Zea mays: one gene and its partner. The protein of the gene in region 1 interacts with the protein of each later gene in a pairwise test. Links are inferred from orthologs where the notes say so. Each region holds a gene or a part of one and is shown on either strand. Other genes may lie near its edges.

Region 1 (5,967 bases):
GGTGGTCTGTGGCGATTGTCTGTTTTACCCTTTGCAATTCAACTTTATTACAAACCAATAAGTAGGATGCATATATGGAAAAAAATTATGAAACAATAACATATAAAATATTCCCAACATAGTAGTGCATAAAATGGTCTCAAATGTTTAATCCATAAATTGGTTCGTTATGTTTTTGTCCAATGGCAATTGCGGGTAATTTCGATCAAACTTTAAGGGGAGGTCCATATTTGGTTGGTTGAGGAGCTGTTTTAAGGGAGGGTGGAGCAGGTTTTTTTAGATCCCACCTTTCTTCACAAAAACGACTCCCAATCTTTCGGCTCCACACGAGAATCAGTTTAAAAAAATACCCGTTTGGCACGGCTCCTCCAGATCCTCGCTTAGAATCAGGAGCTGGAGCTGTGCCAAACGGGCCCTTAATTCGTTGTTTAGAGTATAAGAAAATTAGAGGGAAGGAAAGAGAACACCCTAGATTTAGGGGCAGGAGCACTTACCCCTAAATTTAGGTTGTTATTTAGTGGCAACCTATGTGGCTTTAGGTTGCCCCTAAAGCCTTAGGGGTGGCTTTAGGGACAACCCCTGCGGACAGTCTAAGTCCACTCATGGGTTAAGGTTTTCAATACTACTTGTTAGACTACCCGTCTAGGGTTTGTGTTATTCCCCTTGTAATGACCGTTATACCCCCTGTGTAATGGGCCTGGCCCAGTTACTCACTCTATTAATATCACTCCCAACCCTGGTTAGGGTATGGTTCCTATTCTAATATGGTATCAGCTTTGGTTTAGGTTTAGGGGCTTCTCCCTGCCCTGCCGCCGCCGGCCCCCTGCCCAGCCGCCGCCGGCACCCTGCCCCCAGCCCCGCCGCCGCCAGGGCCTTCTTCCCCAGCCACCGGAGCTCCCTGCGCCGGCCTCTCCTCCCCCTCTCTCCCTGCTGCGCCGCCGGTTCCGCGCGCGCCTGCCCCTGCGCAGCCAGCCGCGACCGCGCCAGGCTGCAGGACCCAGCCGCGACCCCGCCCAGGCCGCCAGGACCCTGCCGCGCCCGCGCCAGGCCGCCGCCGCTCGGGTGCTTCCTGCCCAGGCCACCGCGCTGACTACTCAACATGGTATCAAAGTTAGAGACCTCAAGTTCGGATCCTGACAGAGGTATCATTTGTGTCTCCACCCCTTTATTTCCACATTTGCGCCTTTTTGTCTGGCTGCACATGATTGAGGGTGTTGAAGTGTATAAGTGCACCTTCTCTCAACAACTATGAACCTTATTTCATTTTGGCGATAATCATTGTCAGGAAGATAATCGGGCAAAGTCGGCTTGGAGGGAGACTGACTGAGTATTTGAGGGGAATTGGATTGTTTATTCTTTTTTTCTTTCCTCTTCCTTGATACATCACCTCCCTCCATATATATAGATTCCTGGCCACCAAGGAAGACTCAATCAAATCATATCCAATCCTATCTCTAATTGACCCAAATCTAATCCTATCTATAACTGATCAAATTCCTTTAATTGGTATTGTGGGACCCTGGGCCATTAGCTGATGCCCCCATAATATCCTAGGTGTCCAAAAAATGAATCCAAACATCACTCAACTAAATTATTAGTTGGAGAAAATTGCATGGATTGAGTTTGAGTCCTGAATAGTGTGACTAGGTAACAATTTTGAACTATGATGTTCCTGTGTATTTTTCTAATATTCAATTACTTTGTGGGATATTACCCTTTTGAAGCTACGAGGAACCTACTATCTGCTTACTTTTTTTTTCTGAATCTGCATTGTTAATCAACAGGTTTTGAAGAGGAAGAGTACTGTCAGCAATGAGTTTGTATCTGCTGGTCCGATACGCAGAATTCATCAAAGATACAACAGAACATCACCACTGTTGGAAACACAGCTGGGTTATCGTAGATACCCTGTGGGCTATGGAAGCAAACTCGAAGGTTCTGAGCAATTGGCACGGACTCAAAAACGCCGGTGTCTGGATAAAGTTGGTGATGCCAGTCTCGGTAGCGTAGAGGACAAAACTAATGTGAACTATCCTGGTCAGGTGCCAGAGAAGTCAGCTGAGATGGCAACTAAGATACTGAAGCAGCTTGACACATTAGTACCTTCACAGAAGGAAAACACATCAGAAACAAAGCAGAAACATGAGAGTGCCATATATTTCGAGGAAGATGTTTCTCGACAAAAGAAAGTACAAGCAGAGAGAGATCTTTTGGAACCTTCTCCATCAGAAGTACCTGATGGTATTGCATCGAACAAATCAATCTCACAAATTACCTTGAACAAGGAAAAGCCTCCAGCCTTTTCTTCCAGAGGTAATGCTCCCAATCTGGTATTATCTGATGAAATTGGACGAAGCAAAATGTCCACTCCAGGAAATGGCTTCACCTTCCCTGCCCCGACTGTCAACAATGCCTACTCACAGGGCCCTCCAACACCTACATTGACATCTCCTATACTAACAGTTGAAAAGCAGCCTTCAGTATTCTGCAGTGCTTCAGTCACTTCTGCACAAAGTGACCCTAGGTTAGTTCCTGATTGATAATGAAATACAGATCAAACTTTTTCTGGCACTGAATAGTACTTCAATTTTGCTGATACTTAAAGTGCCAATAACACAACCTGTCATTTGTTGGAACATGAATGACCACATTTGGTTAATCTGTTTATTAGTCGGAGCTATTTGGCTGGACCATGCTGTTTTTGTTTGCCACTCTATTTTGTAATCTTTTTAAGCATAAAATGAAGTACATTAGATTCTAATATTGATGTCTTTTTCTTTCCAGGATTTCAAAATCAGTTTTGGGAGGACCAGTTACACAGAAATTAGAAAGCAAGTTAAATGGAGATAATCAACGAGTGCCTTCCAAGAATTCTGGACAAGTTGCATCTTTCACAAGTAATCCTGTATTTAAGGTTGATGGCCCTGGGCATGCGTCAAACTCTGTTCTCTCAGCTGTACAATCTTATAATACATCAACTGGCTCAGTTTCATTTCAAAGTGCTGGCTCTTCTACCATCTCCACTAACTTAACTTCAAACATTACACAGAGCTGTTCAACTGGAGGCAGTTTCACTTTCTCCAATACTCGTTTTGGTAGTTTATCGGCAACCTCAAATATGTTTGCAGCAAAATCTTTAGCGTTGTCTTGTACAGCAAGCCCCGGTGCTTCTTTGGGTTTCCCTCCAGTTCATACTGCAAGTTCTCCAGCTGCTCACCGCAAATCTGAAGCAGCAAATAGCAGTATCAGTTTTAGTTCCATGCAGCAGTTTGGCATTGCAGGTTCTTCCACAGTGCAGGACAAATCCAAGGCAGTAGACAGCAGTACCCCTTTTGGCTTTCCCCAGAAGTTTGACACCGTGAGTTCCGCTTCAGAGGATATGTCCAAGGCAGACTCTCCTGAGCCGACATTTTTTTCTGGGAATCATAATGTGCAATCAGAAAATTGCAGTTCCCTGTTCACACAGAGTCCAGGAAATAATTTGAGTTCCAAATCTTCAGAAAATTTGAACTCTGGAAGCTCGCATAGTTTTGCAGATTCACCAGTTGGTTCAGCAACAATGTGCTCTAGCCCTTCGAATTCAAACTCTCTGTTTTCTTGGGCTGCTGGCTCAGGTGCAAGAACTGCTCCACCATCTTCCCCTGCTACAAGCTCATCTTTTGCTTTTAGTTCCAGTCCAGCATTTTCAGCACAACCAGTATTCGCCAGCAAATTGACTACACCTGCTTCACTTTCATATGGCTCACCAAATACTGGCCCTGCTACATCACCATTCAGCTCAATGCCAAGCGCTGTATTTTCATTCACGTCAGCTACTCCTTCAATACCAAATCCATCACCCACAACACCAATATTTGGTGACCCTACTGTACAGATGAATGGAGGGAACATAGTTATTGACAGGAATGGGTCCCCTTCCCCTGCAACTTCGCCATTTGGCTTGCCAAGCAGCTCTCCATCGACTCCAACTTTCAGTACGCCTGCAACTCAGTTTGCTTCTAGTACATCAGGCTCACCTGGAGTTTTTGAAATTGGCAAGTATAGTCAAGCTTCTTCAGGTGGGTTCTCAATGGGCCCTAGTGGTGGCAACGACAAATCAAACAGAAGAATTGTCAGAGTTAAGAGAAGGAAATGAAATACCAATATTTTTCAAGTTGCTCTGAGCATTTATAAGACTAAGGCAATCAGCACGTAGAACTTTTTGTTTCACATCATTTGTCTGCGGTGGCAATGAGAATGAGATGCCATTCTTAAATTGATGATCACAATTCTGGCACAGTAGCAGCAATGGAACTAGCCTTTTCGCGATACGGTCGCCCATGACATTTTGTTGTACGGTTTGTCACAACAATGCTATAATGAAATATATAGGTACTTCTCCAACTTGTATTAAACATGTTCAGCGATCAAGCTGCCCTTTTTTTGTGCAATTGGATCCTGAAACTAAATTTCATCCTAATAATAATAATTTAGGCACGCCAATTATTATTATTGATTATGCAGGTGAGATTTATGTACTATATTTTTTTACTGTGGGGAGCGAGTCAAATAATGAACAACATGTTATAATGTTATAAGTTATAAAAAAGTAGAAACATAACATGGTGATGCATATAAATTTTAATCTATTATCTGATAAATTTAAGGAAGAAATATCTGAAATCTTGAAAGTATGGATTTTTTTATCAAGTAAAATTTTAATTCCTCTATAGTGTAAAAGATCGAAACGGCCCTTCTTTTCCCTTTTTTGTTTCGTATATAGTTTTTTTTTCAGTTGAGTTCGCTGTGTCTGTGTTTTGAAAAGCGATGTAACCTTCAAAGTAACATGGCGGTTCCGAATGATTTCAGTCATCTGTATAATTCCTAAGTTTTTTTTAATATGCCTTTGTTATGAAGTTAAATATATATACTATGTCTAAATAGATAAAAACCTATCTAGAAAAACTAAAATGTCTCATAAGTTATTTTGATTTTTAGGTATATTATGTTTGACAAGTATGTATCTAGATTTTTAGGTATATTATGTACTATGTCTAAATATATGATAAAACTGTATATGTAGAAAAAACAAAATACTTCATAGGCTACCGATAAGTTTTTTTAGTCTTTCATGTTACATTCTGAATTACTATTTATAGAGCTATTTAAATAAAAATTACTTGCCATATCTTTGAACCCTGTACACCTCTTCTATAAAAAAAGTGGGCGTATCAGAAGAAAAGAATGGTTTCCTGCAGTACTTTTTAGTAGGGGAAGTTCCAATATATATATAGCCTTCTCGAAAGAAGAGCGCGCGCAGAGCTCTAAGAAAAAGCATCACTCACTTACAATAATAATGAGGACCAGGAACCAATCTCTTTGTTGCGAGGAATCCAGGAAATAACTAACTCCAAGTCACTTAACTCACTCTGTAAGGCCGTGAAAATCCCAAAGGGAATATAGGAAATACAAGTCAGTCAAAGAAATGCAATTCGGAAATGCGCACGCACCAGTCAATCTAGTCAAGTGCTACTCAATCTCCTACTAGATATATAGAGACCATATAGAGGCAGGCAAATCCAGGAATGAGATATAGCGGAGGGAATACGGGCCTCCTTACCTACCTGAAATAATCTATGAAAATTCAAAGTGGAGTAAAGAAACCTAGAGGTAGAACCCATTTGAGAATATGAATATTCAATCTCAGTTTGAATGAGCAAGCCATTCTAGAAATATAAATCAGGCTAAAATGCACATGATCCAAATAAGGATAGAAATCATGTGCTAGCGAGGCCTATTGTCTTTTTTTGAAGTTTTAATGGAGGGTATTTTTTTTATTAAAATCTTTATTCCCATCGGTAAGAAAAAAATATGAAGAACCTCTTGACTAAGTAAACCTCCTCCTATTAAAAGTTAAGAGAGGTATTTATAGTAGTTAGCCATTAGAAGGTTAGTCTGCTAATTTTTAAGCTGTATTATGAGTTTAAA
Region 2 (6,431 bases), on another chromosome or scaffold:
TGAGCCCTGCGTACGCGATAACGTGGCCGTCGGAGAAGTGCCTGAGCCCTGTAGAAGCACAGCTGGCGGTGCGGCTGGGATCCTGCTGACGTCTCCTTGCTTTCGTAGGAGGCTGAGAACCACCGACGTCATGGACGCACGCGGGGAACCATCATTACCTGTTATCGGGGCGAGCCAGATGGGACGCCGGTCTTGTTCCCTCGTAGCCTGAGCTAGTTAGGGGTAGGGTAATGATGTATCCCTTGTGGCGCGGTCGGTCCGAGCCCAAGGTCGGGCGAGGCGGAGACTTCTCCTGAGGCCGAGGCCGGGGTCGGGCGAGGACGCGATTCCTCCCAAGGCCGAGGCTGAGACCAAGTCTTGGGGTCGGGCGAGGCGGAGACCTCCTCCCGAGGCCGAGGCCTAAGGTCGGGCGAGGCAGAGCTTCCTGTTGCGCCCGAGGCTGAACTCGGCTGTTGTCAGTCTTACCCCGGTGGGTGGTTGGCACAGTAGTCGGAGCGGGGCGAGCGACGCTATTTTCCTGTCAGATCGGTCAGTGAAGGGGCGAAGTGACCGCGGTCACTTCGGCCTTGATGACTGCGGTGCGCGTGTCAGGATAAGGTGCCAGGCGATCTTCACATTGAATGCGCATGCGATACGGTCGGTTGGTAAGACGATTTGGCCAAGGTTGCTTCACGACGAAGCCTGCCCGAGCTGGGCTTCGGGCGAGCTGAGGGTGCGCCCACTATCTGAGGAGGCCCTCGGGCGAGGCGTGAATTTGTCCAAAACTACTGTTTCTGCCTGAGGCCGGGCTCGGGCGAGGCGAGGTTGCGTCCCTTGGTAGACGAGGCCTTGCTCTGAACCGTGCCCATCAGCCTTTGCGGTTTGTGCTGAGGGTGCTTACCAGCCGTGTTTAGGAGTGTTGAGGGTACCCCTAATTACGGTACCCGACAATTTGACTTTCTATTTTTTCATCTCCCGCAGCGGTTTCCCCTAAATACTCCCCCTATACCTCAGTACAACCATAAAATATCATTTTCTATACCTATTTTTCACCTCCTATCAATTTTTCATATACTAACAATTAACCGTGTACCCACAACATAGTAGATAGGGGAGGAAAGGAGGGCACGCTGCATCCGGAGGGAGAGATAAGAGGAGAGCGTGCGGCTGCACAGTAGGGAGCACTCTAGGGGGCAGTGATGCGGCACGTAGCGGCTTCCTGTTGCCTCTACCGAGAGGGAGCTGCCGCAGGAAGCGCTGCGGTTAGCCTAACTGTGGGCCTGTTTGGTTCAGTTTTTTCTGACCAGCTTTTCTGAAAATCTGGCTGTGGAGAGAATCTGAGTATCATTACGATTACATGTGGAGGGAGATAAAGTTGTTCATAGGGCTTAGGATCTAGAAAGTGACGGATTCCTACTATTACAATGACTCAACCGATTATGTGTTTATTTCTATTTTGGATGGTTTTTGCCCCAACGAATTTTATAGAAGCTGGCTGAAAAGCTGAGCGTTTGGCAGTCCGCAGCAGCTTTTGGTGACCAGAAGCTGCCAGAAGCCGAAACAAACAGGACCTCTAAATTGTGAGGTGATTTTGGTATATCAAACCTGCTCACGTTTATTAGCTGCTCGAATCCACATGAATAAAAACACATAAGGCCTTGTTCGTTTGTGTCGGATTGGTGGGTCAAAACGATTCCGAGCCGAATTGCTTCTCTAATTTATATAAACTTTGATTAGCCGGAACAATTTCGGGTGCAATCCGACGTAAACGAACGAGGGCCTAAGAGATACTCTAATGAGGTGTTTGGTTTGATGAACCACTTTATCCAAAATGAAGTGGTGCATCATGGGTCCATTCCTCAAATTTGGTGGGATGACTCCGTTCCACATATTAGTACTAAACAACTAACTATAAGGAATGATGTGGTGATGAATTAACTCACTCCATTCCACAAACCAAACAAAAAAGTGAGGAGTGAGAAGATGATGGACTATATTATTCCTCAAACCAAACACTCCATAAAATCTGTTCGGGCCGGACGGGTCGGGTCGGACCGGCTCAGTTTTACTGGTCGCGCACCGGCTTCTACCATCCGCCACCGCCCGCCGCGGAATTCGGAAACCCCAAACCCCAACGCGGCCGCTGTGACGCTGTCCCTGGAGATGGCGGCGTACTTGAGCATGGGTGAAGCGCAACGCCGCATCGGCGACTACCTCTCTCGGGTGACCAACGCCATCTCCTGCTCCGACGCCGCCGCGCTCGCCTCCCTTCTTTCCGTCTCCTCCGCGCCGGCCTCCACCCCGCTCTCCGACGCGCTCGCCGCCATCCCGGACTTCCCGCGCCTCGCTGGAGATCGCTACCCCGACCTTGCCGACCTCCTCGTTCCGTTGCTCCGAGCCATCCACTTCCACTCCATCCAGCGCTTCGCCGACGCCTACTCCTCGTTCGAGAAGGCCTCCAAGTTCGTTCCGCATCTTCCCGATTCGGTTCAATCTATTGGAGTTTTCGAGGATGTGACGTATTTTTGGTTGCAGCGCGTTCCTGCAGGAGTTTAGGAACTGGGAGACGCCGTGGGCGATGGAGGCGATGCACACTGTGGCGCTCGAGATCAGGCTAATCGCCGAGAAGGTGAGCGGAGGTGTCTGATCTGGCCATCTGGGTTTGTATTTTTTTTGTTATTTCGGCTCACATATTCTGGTTCGTTATCTTGATGTAGGCAGATAGGGAGCTTGCGACGAATGGAAAGAACCCTGACAAGCTTCAGGCGGCTGGGTCTTTTCTGATGAAGGTTTTTGGTACACTAGCGGTATGTTATCGTTCAAAAGATTTGTGCAGTCTTCTTAATCAGAATTTGGTCTTTTTAAGCATTTGATGAATTACCAGGACAGTTATGAACTGCATTTGTTAGTTGTTGTGCTAACCAGCTAGGCTTGAATAGTTGATGTTGGGACTATAGAAGATAAACTATCATTTGATGCAGTGTCTTATCATTTTCCGATTCATTAAATTATGAGGAACACCATTGAGGTGATTGTTTTACATAGAAATCTTCCTAGACCTTTTGTGGTTATTCCTTCAGTTTGGTCTTTGATGAATCACTAGCAAGTAGCAAATACGCCTGTAGCAAATATGCCAGTGTATTGGAATGGGGAAATCCTCGTATTCCCCTATTCCAGTAATAAACATGGTACAATATTTTTCATTTTATCGTGTACATGAAAAAACCACTTTAATCGTAGAGGAAAACCATCTATTTGTGAAGAATCACATGACAAACCCAACTTACAAATAAATAATTGATTTCCCGTACATTGCTATGATAAGATATTAATTACATTATTTTAGTTTGAACTTGCTAGGGATGCAAGATAGGTTGTTTGCGAACCCGTAAATAGGTTTAATTTTGTGGGTTACCCACATAACCCACAAAATTAAGCCTATTTGTGGGTTCGCAGATAACCCGCCTTGCATCCGTAGAGCTTGCAGAGTTTTAATTTCTGCCGTTATAGTTTCCATTGCATTCAAGTGATTCAACATGTCTAAATCTTTGCTAGAAACTGTAGAATCTTAGCTTAATATGTTTTCTTCAACTAAAGTGCTTGTTACATCTCAACCATTTTTTTTTGCAATATAATTTCTTTGGACAAAGATTGTTAGCTTGGCCTGGGTACAGTGTAGCAAGCGTGCTTCCATTGCTCAATCCATGTAGCAGATGAATTAAGCTACTACTTAAAGAGGAAGTCCTCCTATCCAGCAGAGATATTCATTTATCTAGCATTAGTCCCTCTATATAGCAAACATATTGATTTTATTAAGTTTTTTTTTGCTTTCCCTTGGGATATTATTTTGCTTTAGTCTATCTTAGTATTGGTGTTTTTCTATATATTGCCATTTTAAGTATTTTCTCTATTGGTTTTGTCATGGCAGCATATAGCTTGAATATTAGTTGTCCTTTTTTCAGACATAGAGACAATAGACTTACTACTATCAGGATCAAAACATGTATACCATTAGGCAAGAATAAAGAAGTGATTACTGACTACTACCTGTAGCTTGTCTCAAGGAAGCAGCCAAATGCACATGTCCAACAATCATTTGTTAGCAACTTAGCATCTGGTAATGGCCTGGCACACCTGTGCAGTAGATGCCACTGTTGTGCCTTCATATGTACAACCCCAGAGGTGCATGCAGTAACAGCTCAAGGCACATGGGGTCGTCAAGCCATCGCAGCCCGCAGGTATATTCTGCACATGCTGCACGCAAAGCATGTCAAAGTTGTGTGATTGTATCCTTGGGAGTATGTAGGGCCCACATGCTGTCAGACAGGAGGGAGTGCAGAGGACTCCGGTTATTCTCAATGATGATGCACACGTGTGTACAATTTCCATGTGATTGATGGACGATAGACTCGGACTTTGTTTGTGGAGTGCTTGAGAGTTGGATGCTTCTAGGAGCGACAGAATAAACCTCATTCCCTTTAATATTAGTAGAGGTAGAGATATTTACTTTTTTCCATCATTTATGTTGTGATAGCTATTTTCTGCCCAATGTTTCAGGTGAAAGGGCCTAAGCGTATTGGGGCACTCTATGTTACCTGCCAGCTATTCAAAATTTACTTCAGGGTAGGATAATTTTCCTTGTCAAGTTTTGTTCTGGTATATGTAACTTTGTAATTGGGTTCTCATGGTTTGGGTTTTAAGTTAACAAGTGCTTGAAGCTGATGATGAAATTATGCAGCTTGGAACAGTAAACCTTTGCCGTAGTGTCATAAGAAGTATCGAAACTGCAAGGAATTTTGATTTTGAAGACTTTCCAGTGAAAGACAAGGTGAGATGAACATAGGTTACAGAATTATTTCTCAGAGACTTAAACATGCCTTTACATTTTGTTGTTGCTTGTGATGGTACAGGTCACTTATATGTACTACACTGGGCGGTTGGAGGTGTTTAACGAGAACTTTCTTGTTGTAAGCTCTGTCTCTCACACATGTGAATTTATTCATGGTTACAAACTACGATGATTTCAACAACAAAGCAGCGAAACTGCTTACAACAGATTTTGTTTAACTGGATCAGGCAGATCAGAAGCTAACTTATGCTTTGATGCATTGCAATCCTCAAAGCGAGTCAAATTTGAGGTACTTCTATTGCATGGGGTTTTCTGGCTTGTGGTTTGACAGACCTGGGTGTTTATACTATAACTTTTGTTTCATTTGTAGGAGAATTTTGAAGTTCCTTATCCCTGTAAAGCTTTCAATAGGTGTACTGCCAAAAAGGACTCTTTTGGAGCGGTATAGTTTGCTTGAGGTATTTTTTACTCACACTTAGTTTCTTACTTAAGCTGGAGTAAGTTCTAGGCTTCTGTCGCGCAATTTATGCTGTATAATTGAACCGTTCAGCTTTTTACAGCCACAAAATGAGCGAGCACGGTTTGCTTAATCATTTGTTAAGCATTTTTGGACAGCATCTAGATGCTGTACGGTGGTACACTGTTTATGTTTAATTGGCTGTTTTATTCCGTTTAAATGGCTATTTAGTTTGAATAATGGTTAAAGAGTAAGTAACCAACTGTTTGGCGTTGGAAAACACTGTGCGTGGATTTTGCCTCACAAGTTACTTAAGTAACGTCTTAAGTCACAAATATGCTTTTCCACTGTAGGTTTTTATTTGGTTTTGTGAACATGTATGCCTCGTTTTTAACAATGCTATAGCTACTCATATATGGTGATCTCCCCTTCTTTTTAGTAGTTAATATTTGCACAAGTGGTAATATAACATTTCAGTATGCAGATGTTGTCACTGCACTTAAGAGAGGAGATCTCAGGCTTCTCAGGCAAGCTCTAGACAGGCACGAAGACCAGTGAGTTGATCTGTTCTTGTGCTTAAAAAACCCAATTCCTTTTGCCATCTCTGATAGCTTGTTTTGCAAGATTTTTGAAATCTGGCGTCTACCTTGTACTGGAGAAACTTGAACTTCAAGTCTATCAGAGATTAGTTAAGAAAATGTGAGCTCAAAACTGAACCTGGCATTGTCGTACTTTATAGTATTTTATGACTGAACTATTTTGGCCCTGCTATTCTTTCACAGCCACATCATTCAGAGACAGAAGGAACCAGCTAAGGCACATCAGATTAAGCTAGATGTTGTCGTAAAAGCTCTGAAATGGCTTGAAATCGACATGGATGTGGATGAGGTGATTTGAGTGTACAATAGGTTACGTTATGTTTTGCATTTTATATTTCCAATAACATTTCTAACATAGTTTATCACCCTACTATCAGGTGGAGTGCATCATGGCATGCCTTATATACAAGAACCTTATAAAAGGGTACTTTGCTCACAAGAGTAAGGTCCTTGTCCTCAGCAAACAAGACCCCTTCCCCAAGTTGAACGGGAAGCCTGTTTAAATACAATTGTCACGGAGAAATCCTGTAATACAATGGTATTTTTT

What was found. The genes of interacting proteins can lie anywhere in the genome.
Region 2: the proteins of Nuclear pore complex protein NUP1-like (region 1) and Enhanced ethylene response protein 5-like interact in binary tests that used the Arabidopsis thaliana proteins (3 or more experiments, as listed by UniProt). The link is inferred for Zea mays from reciprocal best matches to the Arabidopsis thaliana genes NUP1 and EER5.

The regions. Positions count from the first base shown.
Region 1 is NC_050098.1:95,575,246-95,581,212, forward strand, and holds the end of Nuclear pore complex protein NUP1-like, read left to right. Parts: intron 1-1,784; coding exon 1,785-2,524; intron 2,525-2,784; coding exon 2,785-4,135; 3' UTR 4,136-4,454; downstream 4,455-5,967. UniProt on the Arabidopsis thaliana protein: Nucleoporin required for nuclear mRNA export. Functions as an adapter and/or regulator molecule in the periphery of the nuclear pore complex (NPC). May interact with importin proteins and mediate active nucleocytoplasmic transport through the NPC.
Region 2 is NC_050102.1:110,443,684-110,450,114, reverse strand, and holds the start of Enhanced ethylene response protein 5-like, read left to right. Parts: upstream 1-2,123; 5' UTR 2,124-2,142; coding exon 2,143-2,441; intron 2,442-2,514; coding exon 2,515-2,608; intron 2,609-2,696; coding exon 2,697-2,786; intron 2,787-4,536; coding exon 4,537-4,602; intron 4,603-4,717; coding exon 4,718-4,807; intron 4,808-4,889; coding exon 4,890-4,946; intron 4,947-5,055; coding exon 5,056-5,117; intron 5,118-5,198; coding exon 5,199-5,286; intron 5,287-5,762; coding exon 5,763-5,839; intron 5,840-5,909; coding exon 5,910-5,984; intron 5,985-6,067; coding exon 6,068-6,173; intron 6,174-6,261; coding exon 6,262-6,387; 3' UTR 6,388-6,431. UniProt on the Arabidopsis thaliana protein: Involved in the regulation of ethylene response. Probable TREX-2 component required for nuclear RNA export.